2 linked regions of the Stegostoma tigrinum genome follow. The protein of the gene in region 1 purifies or fractionates together with the protein of each later gene. This does not show direct contact. Links are inferred from orthologs where the notes say so. Each region holds a gene or a part of one and is shown in the gene's direction. Other genes may lie near its edges. The genes, in order: dock1 and elmo1.

Region 1 (16,570 bases):
CTTGAGGTGCAGCAATCCTCAGACGAAACCATCATGAGTTATCTCTCTAACAAGACAGCAACATTATGGTCCATTAGGTTATAGTTCAGGGATGTGGAGGAAGCCTGGCAGAACACCCTGTTTGGAACTTAGGCATGAAGAGTGGAGTGGTGAGGGTGTTCCATAATTGTCCCCCTTTTTAGATTAAGAGCATATTCCAAAGTTTGCCTACCAACTTCCCATTCCCAACTCCATCAGGCTGTCCCATCATTTTCCTATATTCTATCTCTACCATTTCTGGGTTTCCATTCCCATTCCCACCCTGAGACCTAAATCTATTCACTGCTGTGGTATCTGGCACTGGTGGAACTGTGATGCTTCTGGTGCATTGTTAGGACTACAGAGGTATGAATAACAAATCTATTACCGATTATGAGCTATTATAAGGAGGTGGAGGTTACCTTTTCTTTTGTTAAATTGTAGTTTTTTTAGTGATTATATTATGAATATGACAATGAATAATAAAAAGAGGCAGCTTTTTAGTGAAACATCCTGTCATAGAGTCATGCAGCACTGAAACAGACTCTTCGACCAAACTTGTCCATGCCAACCAGGTTTCCTAAATGAACTAGTCCAATTTTCCTGTATTTGGCCCATACCCCTCTTAATCGTTCCTATCCATGTACCTGTACAAATGTATTTTAAATGTTGTAATTGTACCTGCCTCTACCATTCCCCTTTTTGAAAATATTGGCTACTTTTCTTAATTCTTACTCTCCATCACTTACGGTTGGTATTACAGTTAGTTACAGTTGGCCACTGTAACTGGAAGGAACTACATTGGCAAAAATTTAAACTGTTTGCAAATGCCCTGAAGATCTGATATTACCCACTACAGCTTATCTATAATTCCATTCTCACATAAATGCAGTAGTCTCTGAAGTAGATTATCAGGTAACTTAATTATTAGGGACAAACAATAAATACAGGTCCTTCCAGTTGTGTCCACATTCTTAGCATGTAGAAAATGACTCACAATTAATCACACATGTATACAAACAATATTATGAGGCAGGTATGATAAATCAAACTGATATTTGGGAGTGTTACTGTTTGTGAGGTCTTCTCAGAATCATATGACAACCTTTCTCAATCTCATATTTTTGAGGTTTGTGTTCAGGAGGCATGTAGACAATGCAAGTGGACTTTTTGACGTTAGGATATGACAGCCACATATATGTTATCCATCATTAGTTATTCAGAAAATGGTGATTTTTCTTCTCGTATAAGTGTAGTAGTTTGTAATTATGCAGTCTTGGAACACAAAGCGCCCAGATTTTTCCAGGATCCTTTAAGTCAGTAAAATGACGATGTTATCAATCATAATCATTAGCAACATTTATTTGACTGTTTATCAAAATTAGTTCAAAATATTAAAAAGGGAAGTATCAAACATATTAAATAAAACCTTGAGAAAATAAAGTAAATGTGTGTGGTTCTGAATGAGAGAAGTGAAGGAAGAATTAAGAAATAAGGACTGATTGCATCAATGGTGTACCTTATATAGTTTCAGCTTGAAATATACCTGCTCTTTAAATCTCAGGAAACAGATCAAGGTATTACAATCCTCTGTACAAACCAATAACTTTTAAAAGAAAAATAAATTTCCCAGTGACTAAGGCAAATAATCATGTAAGATTTCATTTTTAAAACTCTTCTGGAACAAATGGACTAACCAAAATGTCAGCCTTCCTGCTCCTCTGATGCTGCTTGGCCTGCTGTGTTCATCCAGCCCTACACCTTGTTATCTCAGATTCTCCAGCATCTGCAGTTCCTACTATCTATGAAGCAAATAAATATTACTCAGGAGGGAACTAACAAATTAAACACTGAAAAGGTGTTATTTAAAATAACTGAAATCCCCTGCCACATAAATATGTTTTGGCAAGTTTTCAGCCAATAACTGGCCTTAGGTCTTACATATCTATTGGCAAATGAATAGACTTCCTTCTCCCTGCCCTGCTAGAGTAAGTCTTCCAGCGTCCTTCTAAACAAAATCCCTTCCACTCCATGTTCTGATAATAAACTCCAACACTTCACAAAAATCTTTATTCCTTTGAAGAAAGGAATTCATTCTCACTAGCACTCTGTTATCCTTTTCTTCTAGTTGGCATAGAAGCACCTGCTCTCAGTTGTCTGTTCAAAAATCCTTAGTTACTGAAAATCTGACAGCAGCAAGAACAGTTGCTTACTCTTTTTATCCTTTATTTTGTATTCAACTTTTTTAAGAGTTGTTACTACACACCTGGTGCAGGTGAGACTTGAAACCAGGCCTGCTAGTCCAGAGGTAGGAACACTACTACTGCACCACAACAGTCTTAATTGCTTACTCTTTCTCTCTAATTGTTGATGTTCACACTTGAATTTCATTCAGGTTTCACCGGGAGCCCTGTTCCAAAGCAACTAGGATGTATGAGGTTGTCATCAGCTGAGTTTAGTACGATTTGACATTTTTGACGAGGTTAAGATGACTGGCAGAGGCATGTGACTTTGGTTTAACCATTAATTAGATGCTGGATGATCATTTGGTATGTGGGATCAATGATGTAACTGTACAGAAGCAACTACTAGCTGAAGCCCAACTGGAACTCAAACAAGCTTTGTCATTCGAAAATGTGGCAAGTGGAACATATGAGCTACAAGGCAAGCCAGTGGAAGTATTCAGCCTTGCCAGGCTGACTGAGCTTGGGGGACACCACTTGAGGAAAATAAATTACATCGCCTCATTCAGGCCACATCTTCAACAGAGGGACTCTATATTGGCTCATAGCAAAATCCCAAAACAAAGACAAGCCTTGCCAAATGGTTAATGTTTTCTTCAGTATCCTTGCCAGGAAGCTACTGTAATTGCTGCTGATATGCAGACTCGAGGCAGCAAAAGAGCCCAGTAGGCCTGAATTTAGTAAAAGAGCTCATAACATGACTTCCAGGAGAGTGCATGCCCTGGAAAACCCACCTATATCTGGCTTGGAACAGTTAAATTGCTTGGTAACACATAAATCAGAACCAATCAAAATAAATTTTCTGGACACCCTTCCCATCATTGTTGGGAATGAAAGTATTAGACAGTGGATGCAAAAAGATCTGGTCCTGGCAAAATTAAAACAGCTGATAATGATGGGGAAACAAAAGGGCCCTCACAACCAGAAATGAAATCTTTCTTGATCCAGCGAGACCAGGTCACTCTCGAGGATAGCACTGTATTATGGGGAGTAAAAGTAATTGTCCCAAGCAAAGGTTGCCACCAGATACTGGCTGAACTCTATCAGGGACTTGCAGGAGTAAAGGAACCTAAGTGCATGTGTCTAGATCATTGATGCTTTCCACTTTGTGAACAAGGACCTGGAGTTGGTTATAGGCAGGGCTGGGGAGAAGAGGACTTTTCCTTTACGTTAGGCATCCAAAGGAGAACATGACATCAGATCCAGCTAGCCTGGATGCAGGGAATAACACCAGTTAACTTGTTTCCCAAGTTAAATAGAACACTGCATAGTAGGATGAATGTTCATAATCTTCTGTCTTTCACAAAAGTGCGTGCCAGCATTTTGTCACTGTTACCTCACACTCACAAGGCCGCCATTCATTCTAAATCTGTCATGGATCACACCACAGCACATAGATTGCAACTGTCACTATTGTATGCATTTTATCTATTCAATGGCTCATCCTCCCAATCTGCTGATACTTCCAATCTTGGCACTTCCTATTTTATCACTTAGGATACCTCACCATCTCTCCTGCATCACCATTCACTGCTCCATCCATACATTTTCATAATTCCTTCCTTTGTCTTATTGTACGAAATTTTTGTCATAATTAAGCTGAAAGGGTCAAGACCAGTGGGGGTTACTGAAGATCAGACTTCTACTCCTATAGTGGAGAAAATCTGGGACTGCACTGAGATTAAGTGGGATGGAGAGGAAAAAAAAATATTGAGGCCACAAAGGTGGCTCGGGTGACACATTATTGTAGATAACATTGCACATTTGTCACTTGCACTCTTAAAATGTCTGCTGTGGTATTGACATTTTGACTGTTAGACGTGGTCAAATGGCATTTACGTGAGAGATAATTAGCCACTTCAAACATATCAAGGATGAAAGCAGTTTTTTCATCTCTAACCAGGCTACATATCTCTGATGAGCAACCAAATTCTTAACTGCAGATTGTTTCAGCCATCACAAATCTTTGAAGCATGAAGTTCTGGATTGCAGCCAAGGATTCACAACTTACTGTGGACAGCACAGACACATCATATGGCATGCAAGGTTTAAGTCAGGGACTGGCATCACATATCATTCCACATCAAACTCCACCTTGAGTGACAGTGGAATCAGTGACAGTCCCACACATCTCAGGAGGGAATTCTTAATTATGTCCATCGGTTTTTCAAGGGAGCACATTGCCATTCATATTGGGAGATGTACAATGTGCAATTCACATGTTCTGTCTCTCAGATGACCGTGGTATGATAAGAAAAGCTGCTCAAATGGCCTTTTTGACAGTTTAGATGCCATTTGCCAGGCTGCTTAAGCATAGACTTTTCAGTCTCTGCCCACTCAGCAATATTAAAGGGTTACCAATGATGTGAGGTTCAAATAGATTCCTCAGGGCTCCTCTCAATCTGCTGGACTATCATGGTAGATTTCACTAACTAAGACTTGGATTTGACATTCTGTTTGCAGCTTTAACAGCTACATAATTGTAGCACCATACAAGGTTAGTGCATGATTTCACTGCTGCTTTTTTCCCCTGACATGTAATATGCAGATACTTTAAAGTGGTTTCACTGAAAATTACCATGCGTCCACTCAGAAGGATAACTAGATATTTATCCAGTGCAGAAAACGTCAAGAACTGCAAAACTATAACATCCACTTGTCCTTTGCATTATGTGGGGACAACTTGCCATATTACCAATAATAGGTTAAACAATTAAAAGAAGTCTAAAAGCAGCTCATTCACCATGGAAGGTTTCAATGGGAGTCACTCTGGCTATTCATGCTCCATGACTTTTGGTGTGTTATTCTCTCTTGACTGACACACTTGGTCAATGTCTTGGATGCTTATCTTCATTGTCATTACATTGCTGTTGATTACCCATTTCTTCTTCTCTAGGATATCTTCCATTTGTTCAGCCTTTTAGGATTCTAATTCAATGCCATGCTAGAATGATCCAGATATTAAAAACTCACTTGGAGAAAGTTTAAAGTTCTTTGCAATTATCTTAAATGCATTTAATACAAATCACATTTAAAATCTGACTCATTAGGACCAAGAAAAACAGCAATTCATTTGTGAGCACATTTTAGTAATTTATTTTACATAGCTATCTTACTAAAATATATCAGATAAATCCACACAAACTTGCAACTGCCAATGCCAAATTCACACCGGTCACTCTGCACAATTAAAATTCTCACAATTATCAAAATTCACAAATGTTACTTTACTTTACAATATGACAGTGGAACTGGAGGAGCACAGCATCAGAGGAGCAGGAAAGTTAATGTTTTGGGTCAGGACTCTTCTTCAGAAATAGGGAGGAGGAAGGGAGCTCAGAAATAAATAAGGAGGCGTGGGGCTGGGCAAGGTAAGTAGGTTGGTGATAGGTGAATGCAGGTAGGGGGCGGTGGGGATTGGTCAGTGAGGTGGGAGGGGCAGATAGCCGGGAGAGTAAATGGATGGATGGTGTCAGGTTAAGGAAGTGGGGGTGAGAGGGAGGGTTGGACATAGGATGAGGAGATTTTAAAACTGGTGAATTCCACATTTAGGGTATTGAGCTATAGGATCCTTCAGTTTGCAGGTGGTGTCACTGTGACACTGGAGGAGGCCCAGATGGACATCGGGTGGGAGTGGGAGCTAAAATTGTTGTTGATCAGAAGGTGTTGTTGTTTGTCATGTACACAGAGCAGATGCTCTACAAAATGGTCCCTAAATGTCCACTTGGTCTCACTGATGCAGAGGAGGCCACGTTGGGAGCATGGATAGAATAGACTGTGTTGATGGATATTTATCCAAGTAGTTCATCTCCTAAGAACATAAGAAACACATGCATAAGAATAGGCTAAATGGCCCACTGAGCTTCTGAAATATTGACACTGCTTTCTCTCCACTCCTGCTTTTTTTTTTGGTGATTTCAGATTTCCAACATCTGCAGTTCTTGGTTTTATACAAAATAGGCACTCCTTTGGGAGCAGTTGCATTTGTTGCCTGCCTATTTCTTTCAGGCTTATCTGTACCTAGGTGGCTGTGGAGTATCTGTCGACAGGCTTTCTCTGGCATGCACCCAAGGTATTGGAGGGCAATGTGGATGGGTGTGAATAGTATTATTTATGTTCATAAATTTTTCCTTTTTTGGTTTAGTTTTCTGTTAGCTTTAGGCCATTTGAGGGGGAAAAAAATCTACTATTGTCAAGAGTTATTTTGTTTGATGATAATGGGATTAACAGAAAATTTATTTTCTCTTGAAAGGAAAAGGCTGAAGCATGACCTAATAAACAGGTCTCGGAGGCTCAGAAGTGACCTTACAAAATCGTCGGGGGCACGGATAGGGTGAATGGACAAGGCCTTTTCCCCAGGGGGCATGAGTCCAAAACTTGGAGGCATAGGTTTAAGATGAAGAGGGGAAAGATTTAAAAGGCATCTAAGGGGCATTTTTTTTTCACACAGTGGTGCGTGTATTGAATCAGCTGCTAGAGGAAGTGGTGGGGGCTGGCACAGTTACAACATTTAGAAGGCATATTGAATAGGAAGGGTTTAGAGGGATATGGCCCAAACAGGTCTAGATTTATTTAGGATATCTGGTTAGCCTGGATGAGTTGGACTAGGCAGTCTAACCCAGTATAAATGTGTTTTTTTTTGTATATTCTATGAATAAAGTATTTTATTTTCAAACAAAAAACAAGTTGGACCGGGCAGTCTGTTTCCATGCTGTACAGCTCTACTATGACTCTCAACTCTCAGAAGGTTTGTAGACACAAAACCTTTGAGGAAGAGTTCGAGGTCATGCATGTGAGTGACCAAAAGAAAGGCAATTTGAAAGAAACTTGTTTACCTAGACGCGAGAACGTGGAACTTGCTACCACATGGAGTGTGTAAAGCAAATAATATACTGTCGGGTAACAAGGTGTTGAGCTGAAGGAACCTAGCAGGCCGGGCAGCACCAGTGGAGCAGGAAAGCTGGCGTTTCGGGTCGGGACCCTTCTTCAGAATATGCACTAAAGGCATATTTTAGGGAAAGTGGTTCAGTATATTAAAAGAAAATAAAGGGGCGCTGGATTGAATCAAACAGAAAATGCTCAGCTGATCTGGAAGCGGCAGTGAAAAACAGCGTTTCAAACTCCGTTTAATGAAAGGTCGCAGAGACCTGAAATGTTACTTATACGTATCTCTTTCTACAGATCTGCCAAACTGCTGGGGACTTCCTGTTATAATTTCAGGATTCTGAATACTTATGTTGTTTTAAGTATAAGAATTAAGTGAGGAAAGGTGGAAGGAATGGACTGGAGTGAAGCATGGACTGGTTGGGCCGAACGGCCTGCGGCCGTGCAGACGATTCGAGATAAGTAACAAGAACAGGCAAGTGGGATTGTCAAAGGCGCAGTGCAAACTTCCCGAACAAAAGGCAAAACGGATTGCATAACCGTCTCACACTCCCGAACAATCCCTGGTGTGTGGGTAGCGCGCCACTGGAAGCTGGTTTGTCTTGGAAGAAAAATAAACTGTGCTAACTAACTAAGTAACTCTGTAACAAGGCTTTGGGCAGGGGAACATACCGGCAGGAGCTCGGACATCGAGGCGGTGACTGGCTGGGAAGTTTTTTTTGGGAAACTCTGTGACCGTTGGGAGTTTGATGATCGGTGACGCTCGAGACACATGACTGGAACTTTCTCTCTCCTCCTGTGGAAAATGGCGGCCTGGAGTTTCCAGGAGAAATGAGGAAAAACTGGTGGAAAAAAAACACTCGCAAGTTCAAGGAAGTTTAAACGCAACCATGACGCGCTGGATTCCCAGCAAAAAGGAGAAATATGGAGTGGGTGAGTGACAGTGAGTGACTGTTTCCAGCCAGTCCTGAATAGAAGATCTTGCAGCTAAAACTAATGCTAATTTTTTTTGCAGTTTCTTTTTCCTTTTCATTCCGCATATCCCAACACACGGGCCTCTTTATCTGCTTCTTTTCTGACCACAGCCCAGTCCAAGAAATACTTTAACCTTTGAAATGACTATTTCTTTTACGATACAGTAACTCATTAGGATGAATAGTTCCTGGAAATCTTTTTCCTCTCTCTACTCTCGTCAAATGAAACAGTTTGGGTTTGGGGCGCGCCTAGTTCTAAGGCCGTGCCCAGTGGTTTAGTTTTGGGATGTTGTTCAACAGACGGCCATGAATTCACTCCTACACTGCAGCCTCCCTAATTTGAAATACTTTTTAAAAAATGTTGAACTGTAAATCTGCGAATATCTTAAAATGTCGCAAAGTTAGCTGTAGTTACTCCCAGTTCGTCGAACCTCGGGTATAATGGCTAAGTGCATCCACTGTACTTAGCTGCGACTTTTATTGGAATTGCTGTTTATTAAATCTTCACTTTTACTAATAAAGTATTGGTAATCTGAACTGTAAGCCTTCCAAATTGTTTAGAAGAGGTGTGATTAACTTGCAACATAAGTGTCATAACATGCTGCAGCACCCACTTATCACTAGGGGGTTACCACTAATGTTTTAAAAACATATTGCAATGTTTGTAAAATAAGCATTTTTCCGTGCACATGCCTAACCTCAGTGGTTTTGTGTACTGAGAATTGGCACATTATAATCGTATCACTTGACATATTGCACACACTGCTTTGATTGAGCATGGCCTCATCAACTTTTGGAAAAGATCCCTACCAATTTATGTCAGTTCGTAAATGAAGACTTTCCTGCAAATGTGGTTCATTACCTCAAAACTAAAAGCCTTTTTTAATTCTGTGATCAGAGATAATGGGATGTGCAGATGCTGGAGAAGCCAAAATCACGAAGTCTGGGACTGGATGAACAAGCAGCATCTTATGAACACAGCAGGCCAAGCAGCATCTTAGGAGCACAAAAGCTGAGGTTTTGGGGATAAAGGGTCGAGGCCCGAAACGTCAGCTTTTGTGCTCCTAAGATGCTGCTTGGCCTGCAGTGTTCATCCAGCCCCACAATTTGTTATCCCAGCCTTTTTATTACCAATTGGTTATTGATTAGCCATACCTACAATCCATGTTTCATTCACTTCAAGCATTATTTTAGTCCTTTGTTAAAATATACTGTATTTCGGATTGCCTTTTTATTCTTTCAATCTACTTTATAGTTTTTGTCCTTACTTTGGCGTCAGTCTTCTAATGCATATTGAAAAGTACGATATGTACATATAACATATCTCACTGTTGCTAGTTCAGCTTTAATTTGCAGTTAAGGGAGGAACAATTTTAAGGATACCCTTTAAAGCACAATGACTGCCCAGAATCCTGTACTAAGTTTCTGTTACTGCAATGTTACAAACTTTTTAAATCATGAATTAGTGAAATAATGACCGGTAACCCAGAGCTCTAGGCTGATGCCTTGAGGTTCACAGGCTGGAATCCCATCATGGCAGATTATGAAATTTGAATTCAATTTAAAAAAAATTATAATAAATAAAAACTAGTCTTGACAATTAAAAAAAAAATGAAGATCGCATCTTCTAAAAATGCGTAAATCACTGAAGGTGGCAGAAAAGATTGAGTGTGCTAAATTTCATTTGGGGAAAGGATAAAGAGGTAGAGGACATGTATTTAAATAATTGGCAAAAGGGGGAGTGCAAACATAAGGAAAAGCTTTATCCATTTATCTGGATGCTAGTAATCTTAATTTACAGAGCAACCCCATCATCTTTTTCTAACTTTGTCTTTTGACCCTTGAACGTATCTTTCAATATTCAGATTCAAGCCTTTCTCATCATGCAGCAACATCTCCTATGGCTATCAAAAGAAAATCTCTATTTCTTTTTGAGCTGACAACATAACTGCTTTGTTGAGATTCTTAAGTGCATTAATATACAGTGATTTTGATGCTTTCCTTTTACTGCTTTAGCAACTCAAGTTTGTAGACACTAACCCTGCCATACTTTCATTATCTTTACTGTAATTATCAGCTGGAGACTGAAGTTTATAATGAAGAAAATGGCTTTGTACTTAGAGGATCTTTTTGCTTATCTGCTACTAGAAGTTACACAAGCAAGCACTCTGATTTATTGACAGTTGAGAGATTGAGAGACTGATTTGGGTATCGTTAGCAAGTGTAAGGACTGTGTCTTTATATTTTGTGACTTTTTTTGTATTTAAACTGTGGACAGAAATGAGAGAACTGTTTTAAAAGTGGTGAAAGAGTGGATGTAATTTTGGAAAGCAAATAACCTGATACCCATGCCAGGTATCATTGCAAACAACTTCTTGTACAAGCAGTAACTGTAGAGTTACAGATGATTTGGAGCTGAGTGAGTGTACTAATGCAACTTTTGCTGGCAAAAAGAAGTCGGTTAGACCATAAGAAATTGGAACAGGAGTAGGATGTTTGGGTCCTCGACCCTGTTTCGCCTTTCATGGCTAATCCAACTTTCCTACATTTTCCTGTGCCAATGATTTCCCCACTGTCTATCTCAGCCTTAAATGTGCGTCAGGAGTCTGCTCCCACAGCTATGTGTTAAGGAGTTCCAAAGATTGAGAGAAAAAGTTGTGGTCACCTCAGTCTTAAATTGATGCCCCTTCTGCCTTCTGGTCTGAGACTCTCCCATGAGGGGAAATAACCATTTTGAAAACAAGTCGTGCTGAATTCTATATGTTGAAATGAGATCACTGCTCATTCATCTAAGCTTGGGTAACTTTTGCTCATAAGACATTCCCTCCATGCTTGGATCATCTTAGTGACCCTTCTTTGTACTGCTTTCAATGAAATGATAATAATAAAAAAAACCTGCCCTGCTCTTGTACTCCAATACTCCTTGAAATAAGGGTCAACATTCCATTAGCCTTCTGACTACTTTTTGCGTCAATGTACATGCTTTCATTAAAAAAAAACCTTCTAGTCACATTGATTTGCAGGCTTTTGCACTTTTTCTCCATTAAAATAACATACTGTTCTTCTGTTCTTGATTCCAAAATTGGAGCAACTTCCTGTTTTTGTGAACTTTTGGGACACTCACTTATCAGTATTGATTGACTGACTAATGGCAATTGTTAATGATGGAGACTTTTGGCCTGCCAACAACTGAGCTTGATTTGTGGGTAACTGAACAGCTTGGAGCTAGGAACAAGTTATAGAGAGATAGAGGGCAAGAGTGAAATATTCAGCTTGTACCTAACTTGGGAGTAGTCTTTTTTACAGTCAAAACTCTTGCTGTAGATTTGAAGAAAACCAATTTATGATGTCTGCAACAATTGTTGTACAATGTGATTTTTAACTGGTAAGTCAGACTTTGAGTGGTTGAGAACACAAGGCAACCAGTGGAAGCAATCAGAGAAAGAAGACGAGTGTATTGATAGCAAGCAGGAAAATCAGGAATCATCTTAACAACAGTACCTGGGACAAAGATGACTTTGTTTTCTCCTTACTCTGCCCATGAACCCATCCTGTGTGTGTGTGTGTGTTAGAGTTTTAATTGGAATTATGCTGATGGTTTATAACTGTTTACTTGTGGCTAGAGTCAAATTAATTTTAATATGTCAGTTGTCTTGTTTAGTACAGAAATCTGCTCTGTGGTAATCTGGGGGGAAATTTTACATATGTTATACGCCCTCTAATACTAGTGACAACTTTTGGAATGGCAGGGCTTGATTTCCAAAGTACTACCCCAGTGAGTTGTAACAGGTGAGTGATTGCTGGTGTTTTCTGATCATCTCAAAGGGACAGATGTATGAGAAATAGTAAGGTGTGCAAGGATAGATTCTTTTGATTCTAGAATTTGATAGCTGGGAATGGAGTCAGCCATGGTGTTAGATGATGGAGAGATATTGGACGAGGATGGTCTGGATAACTGTCAAAGGTTGTTCACAACAGACAAAAGGGAATGGGAAAATGCTACAAGTCCCACTAATGCGGAAAATCTGTACCAAATACCCAATGCTAGAGAAACGTAGAGATCTGACGGCGTCTGTGGAAAGAGAAATAGTTAATGTTTTGAGTGAAGGGGTAGATTACTTTATCAGTCATGTTGAATGCCATTTATGACTGGTCTTTTTTTTGTTTGGCACACTTGGCAGGGGTGAAGACTTGGTTTGAGGATTTCAGCAGGGAGCCATGTGAATAGTGGGCACAGATTGAGCAGCAGCAAAATGTATAAGGATTTTTGAAAATAAATGGAATTTGAAGGCCCAGGAAGGCAATGGAAGGGAGGAAAGTCGCAGAGATAGCTGGTTGGATGTTCTCAATCTTTCATGATCTTTCAAGGTTTAGAAAATCTTATTGCTACTTGTTGGAAGTAAGTTAAAGGGATTTATAACCATTAATTCTGAAGCCAGGAGGTTATACTTGCATTCAAAATGCTTTGGAAGTAAGCAGTTTTAGCTGAAGAAGCTGGACCCAGTACTAACTCATATGTTCCAGCCAAATCTAGCAGTGAATTGTTAAACGAGTTTTGTGCCATGTCAGTTCACATTCACATCCCTTAGACTTAAGGGAATGGAGTTGAGGCCTATATTGGAGCAATAACCAAAGTGATCCCTTGTAGTGCAATGGTAGTGTCTCTACCCCTGGAGTGGGAGGCCCAGGTCAAGGCCCACTTGCATCAGAGGTGTGTAATAACATTCCTGAACAGGTTGATTAGAAGAGACTAAAAAATAGATGAAAGTGAGAGTTTCATAGTTTTAATAAAATGTGAGGCTGGATGAACACAGCAGGCCAAGCAGCATCTCAGGAGCACAAAAGCTGACGTTTCGGGCCTAGACCCTTCATCAGAGAGGGGGATGGGGGGAGGGAACTGGAATAAATAGGGAGAGAGGGGGAGGCGGACCGAAGATGGAGAGTAAAGAAGATAGGTGGAGAGGGTGTAGGTGGGGAGGTAGGGAGGGGATAGGTCAGTCCAGGGAAGACGGACAGGTCAAGGAGGTGGGATGAGGTTAGTAGGTAGCTGGGGGTGCGGCTTGGGGTGGGAGGAAGGGATGGGTGAGAGGAAGAACCGGTTAGGGAGGCAGAGACAGGTTGGACTGGTTTTGGGATGCAGTGGGTGGGGGGGAAGAGCTGGGCTGGTTGTGTGGTGCAGTGGGGGGAGGGGATGAACTGGGCTGGTTTAAGGATGCAGTAGGGGAAGGGGAGATTTTGAAACTGGTGAAGTCCACATTGATACCATATGGCTGCAGGGTTCCCAGGCGGAATATGAGTTGCTGTTCCTGCAACCTTCGGGTGGCATCATTGTGGCAGTGCAGGAGGCCCATGATGGACATGTCATCAAGAGAATGGGAGGGGGAGTGGAAATGGTTTGCGACTGGGAGGTGCAGTTGTTTGTTGCGAACCGAGCGGAGGTGTTCTGCAAAGCGGTCCCCAAGCCTCCGCTTGGTTTCCCCAATGTAGAGGAAGCCGCACCGGGTACAGTGGATGCAGTATACCACATTGGCAGATGTGCAGGTGAACCTAGCTTAATGTGGAATGTCATCTTGGGGCCTGGGATGGGGGTGAGGGAGGAGGTGTGGGGACAAGTGTAGCATTTCCTGCGGTTGCAGGGGAAGGTGCCGGGTGTGGTGGGGTTGGAGGGCAGTGTGGAGCGAACAAGGGAGTCACGGAGAGAGTGGTCTCTCCGGAAAGCAGACAGGGGAGGGGATGGAAAAATGTCTTGGGTGGTGGGGTCGGATTGTAAATGGCGGAAGTGTCGGAGGATAATGCGTTGTATCCGGAGGTTGGTAGGGTGGTGTGTGAGAACGAGGGGGATCCTCTTGGGGCGGTTGTGGCGGGGGCGGGGTGTGAGGGATGTGTCGCGGGAAATGCGGGAGACGCGGTCAAGGGCGTTCTCGATCACCGTGGGGGGAAAGTTGCGGTCCTTAAAGAACTATCACCTGCACATCTGCCAATGTGGTATACTGCATCCACTGTACCCGGTGCGGCTTCCTCTACATTGGGGAAACCAAGCGGAGGCTTGGGGACCGCTTTGCAGAACACCTCTGCTCAGTTCGCAACAAACAACTGCACCTCCCAGTCGCAAACCATTTCCACTCCCCCTCCCATTCTCTTGATGACATGTCCATCATGGGCCTCCTGCACTGCCACAATGATGCCACCCGAAGGTTGCAGGAACAGCAACTCATATTCCGCCTGGGAACCCTGCAGCCATATGGTATCAATGTGGACTTCACCAGTTTCAAAATCTCCCCTTCCCCTACTGCATCCCTAAACCAGCCCAGTTCATCCCCTCCCCCCACTGCACCACACAACCAGCCCAGCTCTTCCCCCCCCCCCACCCACTGCATCCCAAAACCAGTCCAACCTGTCTCTGCCTCCCTAACCGGTTCTTCCTCTCACCCATCCCTTCCTCCCACCCCAAGCCGCACCCCCAGCTACCTACTAACCTCATCCCACCTCCTTGACCTGTCCGTCTTCCCTGGACTGACCTATCCCCTCCCTACCTCCCCACCTACACCCTCTCCACCTATCTTCTTTACTCTCCATCTTTGGTCCGCCTCCCCCTCTCTCCCTATTTATTCCAGTTCCCTCCCCCCATCCCCCTCTCTGATGAAGGGTCTAGGCCCGAAACGTCAGCTTTTGTGCTCCTGAGATGCTGCTTGGCCTGCTGTGTTCATCCAGCCTCACATTTTATTATCTTGGAATCTCCAGCATCTGCAGTTCCCATTATCTCTGTTTCATAGTTTTAGTTGCATTTGTGGCATCATGGGTTCAGTGGGTACGGTTAAAGAAATTGACTTCTGTGGTGTTGTGTTGATTGAAGGGTCAAAGGCTGGACATATGGAATTTTGAGAGTGCAGTTCTAAATGAATTGGAGGGAAGTCTTTTTGCAGGCGTGGACACCAAAGAACTTAGAGTTGGAAGGGGAATGCAGGTGGAGTTATACAAGGATCTGAGTTGATCAGAGATGGCTTTGTTTTAGTCACTTAAAGTCTTCATGGAAATAGACAAACTGCTTTATTTGGAGATCAAGAAAGTGTTTGACAGTGTGGGTTGAAGAGTTTCCATTGTGGCAGTGATTTAGGTGGCTTTAAAAAGAATTGCTTGGGGAGAGAGCATGATGATGGAGGTTAAAATTGCTGAGCATAAGAAGTTTGCAGGGGAGGCTGAGCTTGGAAGGGACAGATATCTGAAACTTCTAACTTCTCATGGTACTTGGGTGGATGGGAATAAAGAAGGGCATTTTGGAAGTGACCTGGGGTTGGAGCCCGTTTTGGGTTTTTATTGTCATGTGTACCAAGATACAGTCAAAAGTATTGTTCTGTATGGTATCCAGGAAAGTCATACCTTACATGATTACACCAAGGTAATAGAATATAAATGCGGAATATTATGTTACAGCTACAGAGGAAGTGCAAAAAACATCAGGTCTACTATGAGAGGTCCCTTCATAAGTTTGATAACAGCTGGAAAGAAGCTGTTCTTGAATTTGTTAGTCTGTGTTTTCACATCATATCTTTTGTCTGATGGAAGCGTGTGGGAGAGGTCAAAAGGAATAGAAGTGGACAGGAGTGGTGGAGTCATCAGTAGCGTTTGGAGACTCACGATAAGGGTGTAGAACCATTTTTAATTTTCAAGATGTACGTTTAATTAGGTTCCCATGGTTGTCAAAGCATTCATGAAACTGCATGATATTTTAAGAAAAATGATATTTGGAAAATATAGCCTCATTGTTCACTTACTTAGTTGGAGGGAGGATCATTGTAAGTAACTATGACTTCATCTTGTTCATTTACCAATAAGTTAACGTGAGATCTTACTTCAAGATGGCGTATGATGGTAAATCACCCCAGAGATTGGAATGGTGTCTTCTGATGGCCCAAGCCTGATAACTGTAGGAAATTCGTAGGACTGATTCACTTCCCTGGATTTGCTATAAGAACCTGGATGTATCTCAAGGTTGGGTTAGTCTGGATATAACATGGGGATTTTTCTTCATGATTGCATTTTGTCAAAGATATAAATTTTAAAATTGTTCACTGCTTCTGACTGGTTACTCATGCATGTTTACCAAATGAACATTTTTGGACCTCCTATATTTCAAATGCTTAACTGCAGTTTGAATTGTAGTCATCCCTTATCTGATTGATTCTTGTTTTCAGCTCCTATCTTTGAACATGATTTTGCATTTTTGATTTTCATTCTGCCTTGCGTAAACACTTAACCAATGGCATTGTGTGCCTTTGTATCACAAGTATGTATGAATGTTATGAGGGTTTTGGCCTCTAATACCCTTTCAGGCAGTAAGTCCCAAATTCCATCTGGGTGGAAAAACAAGTTTTCAAAATGTCCCAGAGATAGTAGGAACTGCAGATGCTGGACAATTTGAGATAACAAGGTGTACAGCTGATGAACACAGCA
Region 2 (16,757 bases), on another chromosome or scaffold:
CAGCTAACACACTAAATTTAGACTTTTAATGGATATTAGTCTATTCTCCTTTACACTATTCTTCTGTATCATATATGGTATCATACTATGCGGTAAGAGTTCTAAGTTCTTTGTACATTATAATATACTGTGTGGTTATAAGTCTCTCCTTAATTTAAAAATTGTAGCTACGTGTGCTTCATTGCAAAGCCTGAAGTCAATTGTTTGACTCATATTTCACTTTCATTAAATGGAAACTAGCCAAGCAGGGTAAATAAAGGGAAACAAGTGGATGTGGTATAGTTTTTCTAAAAGATGATTGATAAACTACCACACATAAGGCTATCTAACAAGCTAAGAGCCTATGGTGTTGGGGGTTATATATTAGCATGCTTAGAGGTTTGGCTAATTAGTAGAAAACAAAGAGTTGGAATAAAGGGGACATTTTCAGGATGACAACATGTGACTAGCAAAGTGCTGTAGCGATTAGTGATGGGACCACAATTATTTACAAAATAAATGATTTGGATGATGAAAGTGAATGTACTTTCATGAAGTTTGGTAAAGAGACAAAAATGATTGTGAAGGCAAATAATGACAATGGTACAAAGGGTTTATAGAGGGATATGGACAATGAGGGAAAATGTGAAATGCATTTGAAAGGAACATTAGAAGAGCTGAATATTATTTAAATGGAAAAGACTGGAGAAAGCTGCAGTATTGGGGAATTTGGGATCCATTTTCATTAATCACAAAAAGCCAGCATCCACTATAAAGAGGAAGGCAAATGGACTGTTGACTTTTATTTCAAAGCTAATGGAGAATAAAATAGGGAGATCTTATTAAAACTATAGAAGGCCCTGGTCAAACCATATCTGGAATACCGTGAACAATTTTGGTACCCTTGTCTAAGGAACAATATTACTGGCATTGGAGGCAGTTCAGTGGAAGTTCACCACATTGATTCCATGAAGGGTGGGATTATCTTATGAGGGGTGGCTGAGAAAGTTGGGCTTGTACTTATTTGAGTTTAATCGAATGACAGGGACCTTATTGAAATGTAAGATTGTTGAGGGACTTGAGAGGATAGATGCAGAGAGGTTGTTCTTTTTGTGGGAGAGTCTAGGCCCAGAGACCGTCATTTCAGAACAAGGGGTCACCCAATTATAGCAGATGAGGAGTCTTTTTCCTCAGAGAGGGTAGTCAATCTGTGAAATTATTTACCACAAATGGGTATAGAGACTGGAGCTTTAAAAATCTGTCTATCTTGAATATAGTTAATCAGTCAGGGGATCAAGGTTTTTGGGGATAAGGCATGAAAATAGAGTTGAGGAATATCAGATCAGCCATGATCTCATAGAAAGGTTAAAAAGGCTCAATGAGTCTTACAGCCTACTTCTGCTCCTCCACCTTATGATCTTGTTAATTATGTACTTCACTATGACACAAAAGTTTTCATTAATACATATCCCTGAAAAACAATTTGAAAATCCCTTTAATATGAGCATACACCCATGCACCCCATTATATTGCCCCAAACTTAACATTCATAATATAATGAGCACTTACAATAATCAGGAATTCAGAATTTTAAAAATCCAAAGTTTACTTATTCAATAATTGTTCACAAAACATCCAGACGCATGGCTGGATGTGTAGTATTGCAGTGCTCATAAACAACACTGATCTCAACCCCACCTCCAACTGAGTACATGCTTATTTTGACACATTAGTGGAAGAGAGCCCTGGGTCTTAAAAATTGTCTTGAGGAATTTTATCACAAAACACTCTGAATCAACTTGTGGCCTACTTCCATGCTAGTGCAGATCTCTAGCTTTGAATGTGCACTTTTTAAGGTTAATTCTTGGCAGGTCTGAGTTCCAATGTGATGCATGTCTCACCAGTTACCCTCCATGCTGTTGCTTTCTGGTCATTCAATTCCTATCAATATGATCAGGACCTGATCTGCGATTTTAACCAGAAGTCTCACTGCGGGAATAATGATAACTTCTACTTCATGTTAGAACTGCTTGAAGTGGATTGTGGGCCAAAGATTTGTTTCTACTAGTTGAGATGAGATTTGGGGGAATGGTGTTGCCAATGGAAATACAGGTCAACCTGAGAGCTTGTTGTATACCTCGTGTTTTTGGTTAAATGGAGCTCAAAATACATCCAGGCCTTCAATGCATATGTTATCTGCTTTGTCACTTCATCACATATTGAAGTAGCCATAATTTTAAACAAATTTATTAACGCACATTTATTAACAAATATGTAATCATAGTTTTATGTCTCTATGACGATGAACAATCTGTGTTCATGCACAGTGAATGTAGTGCAACCCAATTCACTGATGCCTTCAGCAGAATGCTGATCACTATTGAACATTAATCAGATGGAAACTGGTGTCAAAAGAGTTTCATGATGAAAATGCAAATCAGGCAATTTTTAGCTTGTCAGTGTATTTGAAGAGCAAATGATCTGTTTTTCAGGAGGGGAGCTGCTAATGTTTTTCCTCTGCATCCTTGTTTTGCAGGTGTGGATCTTTCATGGGATATGGTTCCATGGGTATCAATGATTTATAGCAACTTGCTTGATTGCCTAGTCTTAATCTGTGAATTTTTACATTTTGTGCCAACGGGTTACTACTGGAATTGCAGTGATATAGTAAAATGTTTAGAAATTAATAGATCTTGATATTAACGCACTTCACAATGTGTGACAGAAGAAAGCAATGGGGTAGAAATGTTTCAAGAGTGAAATCATTGGCTCTGCAAATGAAAAAGCAGTTTGAATTAAACTGTCTCTTTGCACTTGTGCACACTGGTGGCTTGCAGGACTGGAAGTTATTTTTGCATTAGTGATTCTGAATTGGACACTAACTTTGTGCAAAGGTTCCAGCAGTGTACTGTACAACATTTTAATTGGCTCCATGCCTTTATATAGCTCCTGTCACAACCTCAGAACATCACGAAATGTGTTGTGGTCAATTAAGTACTTTTAAGTGATGTTAATTCTAATAATGTAGGAAATGTGGCAGACAATTGTTACAGAGCAATGTACCACATATGGTAGTGAAGTATGTAACTAGATACTTTGTTTAGCTCCCTTTCCGATCTCAATAGTCTTGTTACATCATTGTCTTTCTCCCTCTTGGTTCAGATATTTGTAGTCTTCATTTAATCATCTCCTTCAGCAAGCTTTCATGTCTTTGAATATAAGCAATCTGAGGAAGGGTCACCGGACCCGAAACATTAACTCTGTTTTTCCCTTCACAGATGCTGCCAGACCTGCTGAGCTTTTCTAGCAATTTCTGTTTTGTTTCCTGATTTACAGGATCTGCAGTTCTTTCATTTTTTATTGGGCAATCTGACTGTTGCCTTTTCTTGATAATGTTCACTGATGATCTTTCCTCCTTCACCATCTTTAGAACTTTTTCAGTGCTGTCCTTGCAAACAATCGTATTTCAAAACCTTATCATATCTGAATGCTGCTTTCATAGGTCCATTCTTCAGACCCAGACATCAAGACAGTCTGATATCAGCCTTGAGAAAACTACTTTAAGATACTCCCTGAGATGTTACTTCTTTTGTGGGATGTGGAAGTCATTGGTGAGGCCTTCATATTTTGTTTGCTCTTAGTTGTATAGATATCGCTCCCTAAAGGAAGTTAGTCAACCAGGGATAGTAAGAACTCCCGTTGCTGGAGTCAGAGATAACACAGTGTGGAGCTGGAGGCCAGGCGGCATCAGAGGAGCAGGAAAGTTGACATTTCGGATCGGGACCCTTCTTCAGAAAACCAAGTGAGTTTTTAACGACAATTGGCAAGAGGTCATCAATAGGTTAGCTTTTGATTCCAGATTATTACTGAAGGCATAATGCACCTTCTGCCGTACCAGGCTTTGAACACATCCCCAGAATGTTAGCCTGGGTTCCATGAATTACAGAATACAGTGACATTACCAATATGCTGCCACCTCTGATACTATTTATATTTAAATTAAATGGTCCCCTTGTTCGAGTCATACTTAACATCAAGGAAAGTTGGAAGTCACATTGGCACATGGGAGTCCAGAGTATTCTGTGATATCTGCGCACTTTGAGTTCTTCTGGCTATTGCGAGTAGTGAAATCAGTCTAACATCGAATGCAATGCATACCATAGAAGTATGATAGGGCGTTAATGAGGTGAGTTTGGTACGATAGTGCAAGAATATTCACAAGGTGTCATGGAAACAAAACTCATTGTGCCTATATATGGCAAGACTCACAACTATGTGCTGAATTGGATAAAAAATTGGCTTGAAGGTCAAAGACAGAGGGTGGTGGTAGATGGTTGCTTTTCAGACCGGAGACCCATGACCAGCAGTGTGCCACAATGATCACTGCTGGGTCCACTTTTTGTCATGTGTATAAATGATTTGGATGTGAAGATAGGGGGCCTGATTAATAAGTTTGCAGATGACACCAAAATAGATGGTGTAGTGGAGTACAACAGGACTTTGATCAGATGGGCCAAAAGACAGAGGTGTGGCAGATGGAGTTTAATTTAGATAAAGGTAAGGTGTTGCACTTTGGTAAGGCAAATCAGAGCAGGACTCATACAGTTAATGGTAGGTCCCTGGGGTGCAGGTGTATAGGATGCTGAAGATGACATTTGGCACACTTGTCTTCATTGCTCAGAAGATTGAGTATAGGAATTGAGATGTCATGTTGTGGCTGTACAAGACATTGGTGAGGCCAGTTTTAGAACACTACATACAATTGTCCTCGCCCTTCTATAGGAAGGATGTTGTTAAACTTGAAAGGGTGCAGAAAATATTGACAAGGATTTTGCCAGCTCTGGAGGGTTTGAGTTATCGGGTGAGGCTGAATAGGCTGGGGCTTTTTTTTTCCTGGGGCATCAGTGGCTGCTGGGTGACTTCATAGAGGTTTATAAAATCATGAGGGTCATGGATAGGTGTATAGTGAATGTCTTTTCCCTCGGGTGGTGGAGTCCAAAACTAGAGAGCATAGGATTATAGCGAGAGGAGAAAGATTTAAAAACGACCTGAGGGGTAACCTTTTCACATAAAGGGTGGCTCTTGTATGGTATGAGCTCCCAGAGGAAGTGGTAGAGGCTGGTACAATTACAACATTTAAAAGACATCTGGGTGGCTATATGAATAGGAAGGGTTTAGGGGGACATGGGCCAAATGTTGGAAAATGGGACTAGGCCAGTTTGGGATGTCTGGTTGGCGCAGGTCAGTTGGATTGAAGAGTTTGTTTCTGCACTGTATAACTCCATGACTTCTATCTACAGGTCATCTTTACAGCTGTAGATTCATCGTCTCTCTTTGCTGTCTTCGAACACATGGCTCTTGTATCTTAACTTATTCCTGTTGGTTGGACAGCTTCTCAGTCAAGGGTCACCATATCATATCATCCAGTGTTTTTTATTATCCAAGAATTCTGTAGTTAATCCATCTACAATTGCTGCATATTTCGAACAGTAATTTTCAAACCTTCTTGAAAACAATTACAGAAACTGTTGGCATTTCAATGATAATATATATTTCCCGTACAGTTACAGCTTTTGGACTAAAGGCTGTCACAGTGAGCAATTTTCAATATTTCTGGGTAGGTGCACCATTCTAGCTATACCAGAACAGCTTGGCAAGGATGACAACTAATTCTGTAGCACAAGTCTTTAGAATTACAGATAACAAAGTGTGGAGCTGGATGAACACAGCAGGCCAAGCAGCATCTCAGGAGCACAAAAACTGACGTTTCGGGCCTAGATCCTTCCTCTGAGGAAAACCCGAAACGTCAGCTTTTGTGCTCCTGAGATGCTGCTTGGCCTGCTGTGTTCATCCAGCTCCACACTTTGTTATCTTGGATTCTCCAGCATCTGCAGTTCCCATTATCACTCTTTAGAATTACTGCCTAGTTGTTTTTAAGAATAGCTTTTGCCTGATCCATTGACCAAATCTTGTCTGAATATCCACTTGTGTGATGGAATTTAAAATCAAATGTTGTCTGACAATAATTCAGTAAGATACTTTGGGATGTTTTACTTCCTTAAAGAGGCTTGATAAATACAAATTGTTGATATGTGTTGGCAGAATTCAATTCATGAAAATTGACAAAAGGAAGATATCGCATATGGCCCCAAAAGTTACATGAGATCTGGTTTCTGTCCAGGCCCAGAATGAGGAACTACATGCGATATAAATGATTGGAGCCAATGCCCTGAGCTCAGGCAGCCACACCCCCTTGACTACCGTTCATGAAAAATGTCCCTATATGTGAGAGACAAAATTTGTCAGGAGCCGTCCCTCTGACCAAAAATTTGACTCTGTCATGCTCGTTCAATCACAGGATCTTTCTGGTCTGCATTCACTGTTGATAAGTGCACTAGTGAGCCTATCATGAGCATCAAAAGCGGGACAAAACCAGCCTTTGTTAGGAGATCCAGCTTGGCGGATAAGTAGCTGTGGTGCATGAATCCCTGCCTTGCTCTCACTGCAGCTTTGGGCCTCAGAAATTTTTATCAGTGCAGCTCTGGGCCTTATCGATTGCTGTCAATGTGGCTCCAGCATTTGGAATTGGTGTTAATGTAGCTCAAGTTCTCACCTACTGGTGTGAGAATGGTTCTAGCCCTCAGGGTTTGCTGTCAGCATGGCTCAAGACCTTCAGCAGTATTTGTGTGTGTGTCTCCAGGCCTGTCGATTGCTGTCAGAGTGGCTTAGGGAGTTTGGAGTTGCCGTCAGTGCACCTATGGGGCCTTGGGGATGGTGACAGTTACTGTCTTGTATTGAGATGACATTTCATCAAAACAGCTTTACTGAAAGTGATATGATCCCAGCTAATGGTAATACTGGACAAGTCAAACTCTAGAGTGCAATCTGACGTAATAGACCATAGTTTTACTTTTATAATTTGGTTATCATCTTGTTCAGGCACTGAATATGACACTGATAATATTCACAAGAGGCTGCCAATGTACTTTTAACAAAAGGACATTAAACTTATTACACACAAGTACACAATTTTACATGATATAAGAAATATTTGAAATGGTCTTATTACAAATATCAAAAAAATTCAACTCTTTTACCATTAACAATAATCTTTCAAATATTGAAATCTCGCTTTAATGATCCTTGTACCATTGGCACAACTGCTCTTGACTTTGTTTCAGTGAACTTCAACTTTCATTTCAAACTATCTTCTTTATTTAATGTTACTTCAGGAGTCAGATCTCTTATTTCTCTAGATGGATTATTTAAACTCCTCTTCCATAGCTCCGTGTTTCTGGAAATTCTCGTTCTTACATCGAACAAGTCAAGCTTTTTTTGTCCATTTCTGGCTATTCGAAAGACTGCTAGATTTCACTGCTAATTGTACAGGTTCTTTCTCCCTGAGCGACTTGTTTTTCTCTGAAAGATACCTGCACATTCATTTACCTCCTGGACGGTTCCACCTTTCTGAAAATAATCTGTTTCTCTTTCCTCATATATCATAGGGTAGTCAACTGCCTGTTCTCCCTTTCTTTTATACTTGTTTTTCTAAAGCACTGGACTCGGGTTTTTTTTAATTTAAAACCTAGTATAACAAATATCCGGATATCCTGGTACCTCTCATAGAATTCAAAAGTGAAACGAAGTCCCTCCCTTCTCAACCCACACAATGTAGAAATGCAGATCTAACTTATACATGGTTCCGTTCACTTTAGAAAGGCCGGTTTCAAATAATATCAGATTGCAAACATTCATCACAAAGAGACATCTTAACCTGAAATATTAACTCTGCTTCTTCAAGCTGCCTGAACCGCTGAGTATTTTCGGCATTTTTGTTTTAGATTTCCACTATTTCCAGGATTTTGCTTTTATAAGAGAATACATCAACTTGTATAAGATGTACATGAAGATGGAAAGGCTAGAAAACTTTTGAGAAACACAATGGTCCCAATGCAATAAAAGGGAAATACCACAAAATATGACAAACTTCATACCGTCATTGTGGCTACGCATGTCCAAGACAATATTACTTACTCTAGCAGATAATTTAGAATACTGTTACAGGGGCTGAGGTACGGGACCGGCCCAGAAGTTGCAGAACCCTCACTATTAACCCAGCAGTCCAGCGTCCTTTTCACAAATGGATGCAACGATGCTTTGATAATCCAGGGACGTATTACCAGGGCGAGAAAAGGTTGCCTAACGTAGTGATGAATACTGCATTTAATCACATCTCTTGTTTGGAAAATAAAAGTGCTTCTTAAATGTTGAAACGAGAAACTTATTGACGAGGGTTTTGACTTGAAGGTCCGGTTCTGCTCGCCAGCAGGAGGCGCGGGTGTGTGAAGTGACAAGTCGGCACCGAGCGCCCGGCCGCTGGGGCTGAGACGGTGGAAAAGGCAAGAGCAGCCAGGTCAGTCACTGCCGCTCTCTCTCAATCCTCTTTGAGATCGAGCCATTAATGATAAAAAGCCAAGGCGCTCACAACCCCAGCAAGAAGAGGGACATGTATTGTTAGTAACGATAGTAAACAGGAAAGCAGGTTGGAATGCTTTTTGACTCTCCTCCCACCCCCTCTATGTTTGTATTTGTTTGAATGGTGCTCTGCGCATAGCCCACCCCCGCTCTGCTTTGCCGGTGAATTCTAGTCACTGTAGTTCCAATATGCAGCTGGGGCCCACTTTCTCATCACCAGTTGCCGACAGTCCCAGTGCGAGATCCCCAGCTCTCTCACTCTCTCTTTCTCAATGTGTGATCCGGCGTTACATGACGGCCGCAGCTAATGCTGGAGTCGGAGCCTGGGGCTTTAAAAAGACAGCGGGCCCGAGGTTAGCGGCGTGACTCTGACACACTGGAGTCAACCCCTCGACTCTGCGCGGTGCTTTTTTTTTCAAAAATGTTGAGACTGTGCTTCGTAAATGCTGCCTCAGCAGGAAGGAAATGGCACATCTCTCTCTCTCACACACACACACACCGGTACAAGTAGCCCACCCAGCAAAATGGTGCAGGAAAAGCGGCCGGTGCCTGGGCGATAGGGGCTGAGCTGTTGGGTTTGGAGCCTTGCTCACCCGTAGTCCCGCCCCGGCGAGTAGTCTGAGTGCCTCACCGGACCCAGCCAGCCCGGTCATTGCAAACACCAGGGAGCACAGTTTTGGCTTCACGTTAAATTCGTGCCAGCTCCTGTTTGGAAGCTTCACGCTGCCTGTCCCGTCAGCTTCTCTTTTGTGCAACAGCGGCCTGCTCCCCGCTGGAGTCGGAAAGCATGATAATCCCTGCTCGGCACTGAAAGGATGACCTACACCCAAAACATTTCTCCGTTTTTAAAAAAAAATCCAACATTTCCCTCAAACACACTGAAGCGCGACCGTTATCTTGAAAACACATTTTCCCGAAAGAATTGTTAACTCCAGCAACTTGCAACGCTATAAAAGACGAGTGCAAACTGTAGTCAGATGTTGCAGGAAACATTTATTGCTTGTCAGTTTTTTGAAAACCAGGTTGGGTTTTTTAAAAAGTAGGCCCGTAAACTTAACACTGACCTCCTTGAAATAGACCCTTTTCATTGACAAACAAATTCATTGAAAAGAGAAGCAAAATGATGCCCTGGTTCTCCAAGTGCAACCACTTCAGCTTGAACGGACAAATGTAGTGACTTATTGTCACTTTTAAACAGGTTTCAATTGCATTTGAAGGGAAGTTCTATTAATTGGACGAGGGCTGAGGGTGAAGAGAAGGACCTCTAACCTTAAGAGGTCACAGGTGCTTGTATCTTGTTTTGGTCTCTTGAACAACCCCAATCTTAATTACTCCACCGTTGCTAAACTTTGCCTTTCAGCTAATTCATGAGTAACCTTTGCAGTTCCCTCTGTATGCTTCTATCTTTCTGTCCTTTTAAGAAGCCTTATCAGTTTGACAAAGATTTTGGCTGTAATGCCCTGATATTGTATTGTGTTCAGTGCTCACATTCATTAAGTTCATGTGAAGTGTCTCAGGATGTCTTATTTTGTTAAAGGAATTGTGTAAAATCTTTGTTTCAGTGCCAATCCAAGTCTTCTAAACTATATGGTTGTAGTAACAGTTGATGACTTTGAAGTTTTGGTTAAACCAGTTAAGGCAAATTTTAATGTTGCTGTGAACCTACAGTTCATGGATGTTTGTTCTGCTTGAGGTGTTGAAGTGAGTAGCACCAATCCTGTTCTCACTGTCATGCTGATAAGAATTATTTGTACTGGGCGTATTTAATTTGGAAGTGGATGATGAAGTTGACTCCTGTTAACTCCGTCTCGTGTTTGAAGGGAAGCCTTTTCCCAGACAATCTTCTACCTGACACCCATCAGCTGTTACCCTTTTACTTGCTCTGGAAGGAGCTGATCTTATTAGGAACCAGGCTGTGTCAGAACAACCAGCACTGGGCACTTGGGTACTCTGAGACCAGGTGTGCTGCCTTTCACTCCTTGCTTATCATTTCTGTTTTGATACAGAGTTAACTATGAACGTTTTGTCCAGGAGTGATTAGTTTTTTAATCGGAAGCAATAGGATTCTGTTTGTGAGACAATTTTGGTTAGTACAGAGCTAGATGAATTGATTTTGTTTTTACTCTGCTGCCTTTGGAAATCAGAAAATAATGACAGAAAATGCGAGAAATTGTCATCTGGTCTGGCAGCAGCTGTGGAGAAAGGAACAGTTAACGTTTCAGGTCTGTGGCCATGGAAATAGATTATGTAATCATTGCATCATTCTATTTCATTATTGCTTTCTGAAGAACGGCTAGGCCTGTATCTTTCAGTGTTTAGAAGAGTCAGAGATGGCTTAACTGAAACATATACGACCCTGAGAGGACTTGCCTGGGCAGATGTTGAAGGGATGCTTCCTTTCCTGGGAGAATCTACTTCCGGGGTGTAGTTTAAATTAAGGGGTTGCCTATTTAAGACACAGATAAGGAACTGATTTGTTCTTTGAGGGTTGTGAGTCTTTGGAATTCCCTTCCTCAAAAAGCAGTGGATGCAGAATGTTTAAATATTTTTAAGGCAGATGTAGATAAACTCTGATTACCAAGGGAATGAAAGATTCTTGGAGGTGTGCTGGAATATAGTTAATAGCATTTCAACCATGACTGTGTTGAATGATGGGACAAGTGACCTACTCTATGTGTTTGGAAATTGACAGCTGTGTTTATTGCATTACAACAATGACTACACTTGAAAAATATATCACAAACATTAAAATGCTTTAGGATGCCTTGAGGTTGTGAAACGTACTATACAATAGAAGTTGCCATAATGGAATTGAGTTTAATTCCACAATGTGAAGACCCTACTTAAAGAGGACCATTCTTCTAAGCAGAGTCCTTCCTTTTAAAAGGGGCAACTGTCACTGTTGGGAAAATCTTACTTTTCTTTGACTTCTCAACTTCTTCATTTAAGGGCATATGAAATAATTTCTGTCGTGCCTGGTGCAAGAGAGCTTGTGCACGTTTATTTTTCTAAGCAAGTACTGCTCACATTCTTTAAGGCTGCGTCACCATTCTGTCTCCTTACCCTCATCTCCATCTTCAAAAGTTGACTCAGACTTACGACCTTTGACCAATCCTTTACCTTCTGAACCTTAACCAAAGGTTTGACATCCATTCCTCTCCCAATTATGTGATGTGCCTTACAATCGCTTTTCATTATAGAGTCAGTATTAAATAAATATGAATAGCTGATAAGAGTACAAGTTAAATTTTACAAGCAAAGTGCAAATATTTCAAGTGAATACCTTAACTTTTATTTTAAGAAATAGTGCGTATGTTTTATGTGCCAGGCACAGCAGAATGGAACAAGGCTTCTCAGGTCTTGAATGGTACCTTCGTTTCATCAGTTTTCAAGAATTGGCTTTCATGTGTTGCTAATAAGAGAAATGCACCTCTAAAGCATCCCTGAAGTATCAGCATACAAGACCCTGTGCCAAAATGTCAGACATAATTTGACACTGAGCCAAAATCAAGGAGATATTATAACAGGTTTGGTTTAAAAAAAATGATGTAATGAATATCTGAACGTGGAGGAGGCATGCATTGAGGTTATGAAAAGAAATCTAGCGCTCAAAGCCTAGGCAGCAGTTGGACAAGAGATGTGAGATTACAGAATAGGCCAGAATGGAGGGAATGCAGATAGAGGGGTCTATAGAGGGATTGAGTACAGGAATTGTGATGAAAAGTGTGAGATCTCTTATAAATATCATTTTTAGGGTTTGGATTTCTGAATAGTATAAATGTGTGTTGGTATGTTTGAGAAGGTTTTTTTTAAATGATCAGAAAATACTTCTGGAACAGTGACCTAACCCAGAATGTGTCAGAGAGCATATGACTGTGAACCCATGGAATGTTAATAGAAGAAGATATTTCTATGATTGGATTTGAGGTGGAGTAAGTGCAGAAGGCCACAGGCTTGATTCAATTCAGAATAATTGAGGATTGATATTACTTCAGCAAACCCAAAGATTTAAGGTTCAGGGTAGTTCAGATGATAACTGACAAGGGTCAGAAGCAAGTATAGTTTCTCTTCTAGAAAGGAGTTTTTTTAGAGTGGGTCAAGGAATAAGTTGCCTGAGCAAAAGTTTAATTTGTGCAGCTTCAAAACCTTGAGAGTTTGGTCAAAAAACTGCAGGTTATTTGAAGCTAAGAAAATTTAAATTCTCAGTTTTGAGATTTTATGTAAGAATACTTTCTGCAACCACATGGGAAAGAGCTGTGGGAGTGTGAGGGGCTGTTGGGAATGGAGGAGGAGTAGACTAGGATATCCTGGAGGGAATGGTCCCTGTGGAATGTTGTCAAGGGAGGGGAAAGGAGTATACGTCTGGTGGTAGCATTCTGTTGGATATGACAGGAGTGGTAGCTTACGATCCTTGGGATGTGGAGGCTGGTGAGGTAGTAAGTGAGGACCAGTGGGACCCCAGTTGTTGTGGCGGGGAAGGGAAGGGGTGAGGGCAGAAGTGCGGGAGATTGTTTGCATAAATCACTGAGCTGTGGATGATTCTGTAAACGTGCTGTTCTAAACACTTCCAAAAATCCCTTTCCCAGAGCAGGTGCACGTGTCCTTGTTTGTACTAGTCTCCCAAGTTCTAACCTGCAGGTCTTGATGGTTTGAAATTAATTTGAGTCACACTTATGCACCTGTTTTGGGTAATCTGGCTTGATTGTGTCCTTGTCTGAGGATTTATGTTCAGGTGGGTTTACAAAGAACTGAGTTTAAACCATACGCCCAGTTTATTTTGAGTTGCTTTTGTGAGCCACAGTGCTGCTGACAGAGGTTCAGGTACAGTGTAAGCACAAGCAGCTTGGCTTTTGAGATCTCACTTACAGGTTATTTTTAAACCAATCTGAAAAATGCGTTGTTCAGGGTGAGCTCAGGAAGTGATCAGAACCATTTCTGATTTCCAGGCAGCACCCGCTGAACAGATCAAATAAGAAACAAGTGCAGGAAATAATGTGCAAGTGAAGGTTTATTCATTTTAGATGTAGTTGGAGCTGTGCCATGTAAACTCCTTTTGCAGGACTACACAAGGACAATGGCATTTTGAGAAAAGTTTTGTCATTTATATTGAAATGAGCAATTAGGAGAAAGAAAGCAAGAATCAGTTTAGCATCAAGAGGTGCTGATGGTAGTGATGCTTCTGTGAGATGTGCTGTGGTATAACTTGTTCTCTTTACATTTTGGCAACTTTCAAAATGATTTTTAAGTATTGTAAAACCTTTCCAAGGAGGTAGAATTTGAGAGATTTTTTTACTCGAATTCAGTTACGTGAATCGCCAAACCCCTGGAAAGGGTGGGACGATCAGGCCAAGCTGTCAAATTACTCATCCTTGTCATGTCAAAGTTTCAGACACATTCAATGTTAGTGAAGAACCTCCTCCAAGAATCATCACTTGATATGACTGAGCAGGTTTTGAAAGTCTGTTTGCAGCAGATGCAGGGTGTCACATTTTGCATCATGGTCAATGCAAGCATGCTTTATAGGCTGTAAGCATACACTATGTTTCATTCCTGCATGGTGTTCCCGACTTGTGAAAGTGTCTTTACTCATTGTTCATATCTTGGCCCTCTTTAACTCATTCTTATCCAAGTAGGTAGATGATTAACTAAATACGTAAAGAGTAACTCTGTGTCCATGCACGGACATGAGCAGGAAATTTGTCCCTTCTGTAGTGTAGCATAAGTTGTGCTTAGTTAAGTTTCAGAAAAGAGCTGTCACACAGAATTAGTCAGTTGTTCAAAACTGTAAAGGCCTTCAAGCATTTTGAAGTTTTAGGATATGTAACTGACTTGTGAAATTAAACAGTGAGCAGGTTACCTCTCTGTGTGACAGTACTGTCATGTGAGATGGGACTGGATTCTGACTACATAAACTGTTAAATAAAATAATTGATTTTTATGATTTTTGCTCATCTGGGCAGGTCAGGGGTATTCCATCACACTCCTGACTTGTGTCTAGTGGATGCCAGGGAGTCAGAAGGTGTGTTACTTGTCTCAGAATTCCCATCTTCCAATCTGTTGTTATCCACAGTATTTATGCAGTTAATCCAGTTAAGGTTTTGGTTAATTCTGGCAGTAGGGGAGTTCAACGACAGTAGTTATTGAATGTGTGCTTGCTACTTCTGTATTATGTATGTCACTTGCTACTTATCAGCCCCAGGTTAAACATTGCCCAGGTATTATTTTATGAGAGAGATGTCTGTTTCAGTATCTGAGTTGCAAATTGTAGCTAACACTTTAATGTCAATAACCTATACAGACTTATGAGTTAGGAGTGAGGTAAGCCATTTGACCTTCACCATTCAATAAGATCATGGCTGATCTCTTTGTATTCTGAATTCCATATTCCCATCTATTGCTGATACCTTTTATTCCTTTTCCTTACAAGAACCTGCCTACCTCAGCCTTAAAAATATTCAATGACGACACCTCCATGGTCTTCTGAGTGAACAGTGTTTCAAAGTCTCTTAATCCTCGGAGAGAAAATTTCCCGTCACTTCTGACCTCAAAAAAAACCTAATTTCAAAACATCGCCCCCCCTAGACCCTAATCCTGGACTCCCCACAAGAAGAGTTATTCTTTAATGTCCACCTTGCTAAGACCATTCAGCCTGTTATATACTTCAATCCATTCATCCCTCACTTTTCTAAACTACAAGAAAAATAGACACAGACTGTCTAATCTTTCCTCGTAAGACAATATGCCCTTGTTCAGTTATTTATTTAGTAAACCTCCTCTGAACTGTCCCCAATGCATTTACATCCTTTTTTAAAAGAGGATCATCAAAGCTCGGCAAAGTATTTGTGATGTGGAACCACGGCTCTATGTACGAAACAACCTCGGGTAACTATCTGTGTGGAGTTTGCACATTCTCCCTGTGTTTGCGTGGGTTTCTTCTGGGTGCTCCAGTTTCCTCCCACAGTCCAAAGATGTGCAAGTTAGGTGGATTGGCTATGCTAAATTGCCCATAGTGTTCAGGGATGTTTAGATTAGGTGGGTTATGAGGGATGGGTCCGGGCGGGATGCTCTGAGGGGCAGTGAGGACTTGCAGGGCCGAAGGGCCTGTTTCCACACTGTAGGGGTTCTGTGAACTGAAGCATAATCTCCTTACTTTTGTGTTCTGTTCTTCTCATGATAAAGTATAGCATTCCGTTAGCTGTCTTGAACATTTGCTGTTCTTTGTACCATTCAACTTCTGCAATTGTTCACCATTTAAATAATGCCCTTCTGTGAAAGTGAACAACTTTGCATTTTCCCACATTATACTCATATCTGCCAGAATTTTTGCCTGCCCATATACCTATCTGTATCGGCCTGTATCCTTGTGAGATCATCTTCATAACCTACTTTCCCATTTTTTTTGTCAGCTGCAGATCCCCTCTCTAAGTCTTTGATATCTGTTTTAAGAAGTTGAGGGTCTAGTACAGACTGCTGCCAACCTTGTCATATCCTGTCAATCTGAAAAGACCCAGTTATGAGTACTTTCTGCTTTCTTCTAGCCAGCCAGTCTTGCAAAATCTTTTGAATCAAGTGGTTCAGACCTATTTTGACACACCTCCAGCGTAGATAGGTTTGAAACCCAAACTTTATGTCCCAGTGGCTGGGACATTATCACTGCAACACAAGACCCTCCGTTATATCCATGGTACTATATTGCTTCTTGTACAATGAATTCCTATAAAAGCAAAATACTGCAGATGCTGGAAATCTGAATGAAACACAGAAAATGTCGGTATGACTCTTCTTTGGAACTGTAATACTTGCCATCTCCTTTCATTTCCAAAGAAGAGGCATACTGGACTCGAACTGTTAATTCTATTTTCTCTTCAAGGGTGCCACCAAACAATGAGCTCTTACTTAATGCTCTAGTCTTTTTATGAGAAATCTTGTCAGTTCCTTCTGGAATTCCCTGTACAGTACATTAAGGTTTTTATCCCTCAGTTTGTTATTCCTTCAAACAATTCCGGTAAATTGGATTAACACCAGTTTCCTTTCACAAAACCATGTGGTGATTGTTTCTGATTACATTGATTTTTTTTCCCCTTGTGCCCTTTATGAGCTCCATAATGATCAATTGAAACACGTTCCTGATGAGAAAACGTCAAGCCAACGGCCTAAAGTTGTCTGTTTTCATCCTCACTCACTTCTTGAATAGAGATGTTACGCTTGCTACATTCCGGTCTGATGGTACCGTTTCAAATTTTATGAAAGTTTTGGAAGTTAAAGTAATGCATATACTACTCATTAGCCACATAGTTTGAGAT

What was found.
Region 2: the proteins of dock1 (region 1) and elmo1 purify together in Homo sapiens (affinity purification with western blotting; 12 studies listed by BioGRID and IntAct, counting the BioPlex papers as one, with this or other methods). This does not show direct contact. The link is inferred for Stegostoma tigrinum from reciprocal best matches to the Homo sapiens genes DOCK1 and ELMO1.

Annotation. Positions count from the first base shown.
Region 1 is NC_081373.1:32,525,062-32,541,631, forward strand, and holds the start of dock1 (dedicator of cytokinesis protein 1), read left to right. Parts: upstream 1-7,653; 5' UTR 7,654-8,035; coding exon 8,036-8,078; intron 8,079-16,570. UniProt on the Homo sapiens protein: Involved in cytoskeletal rearrangements required for phagocytosis of apoptotic cells and cell motility. Along with DOCK1, mediates CRK/CRKL regulation of epithelial and endothelial cell spreading and migration on type IV collagen.
Region 2 is NC_081355.1:27,442,380-27,459,136, forward strand, and holds the start of elmo1 (engulfment and cell motility protein 1), read left to right. Parts: upstream 1-8,261; 5' UTR 8,262-8,392; intron 8,393-8,400; exon of another isoform or gene 8,401-8,521; intron 8,522-16,757. UniProt on the Homo sapiens protein: Involved in cytoskeletal rearrangements required for phagocytosis of apoptotic cells and cell motility. Acts in association with DOCK1 and CRK. Was initially proposed to be required in complex with DOCK1 to activate Rac Rho small GTPases.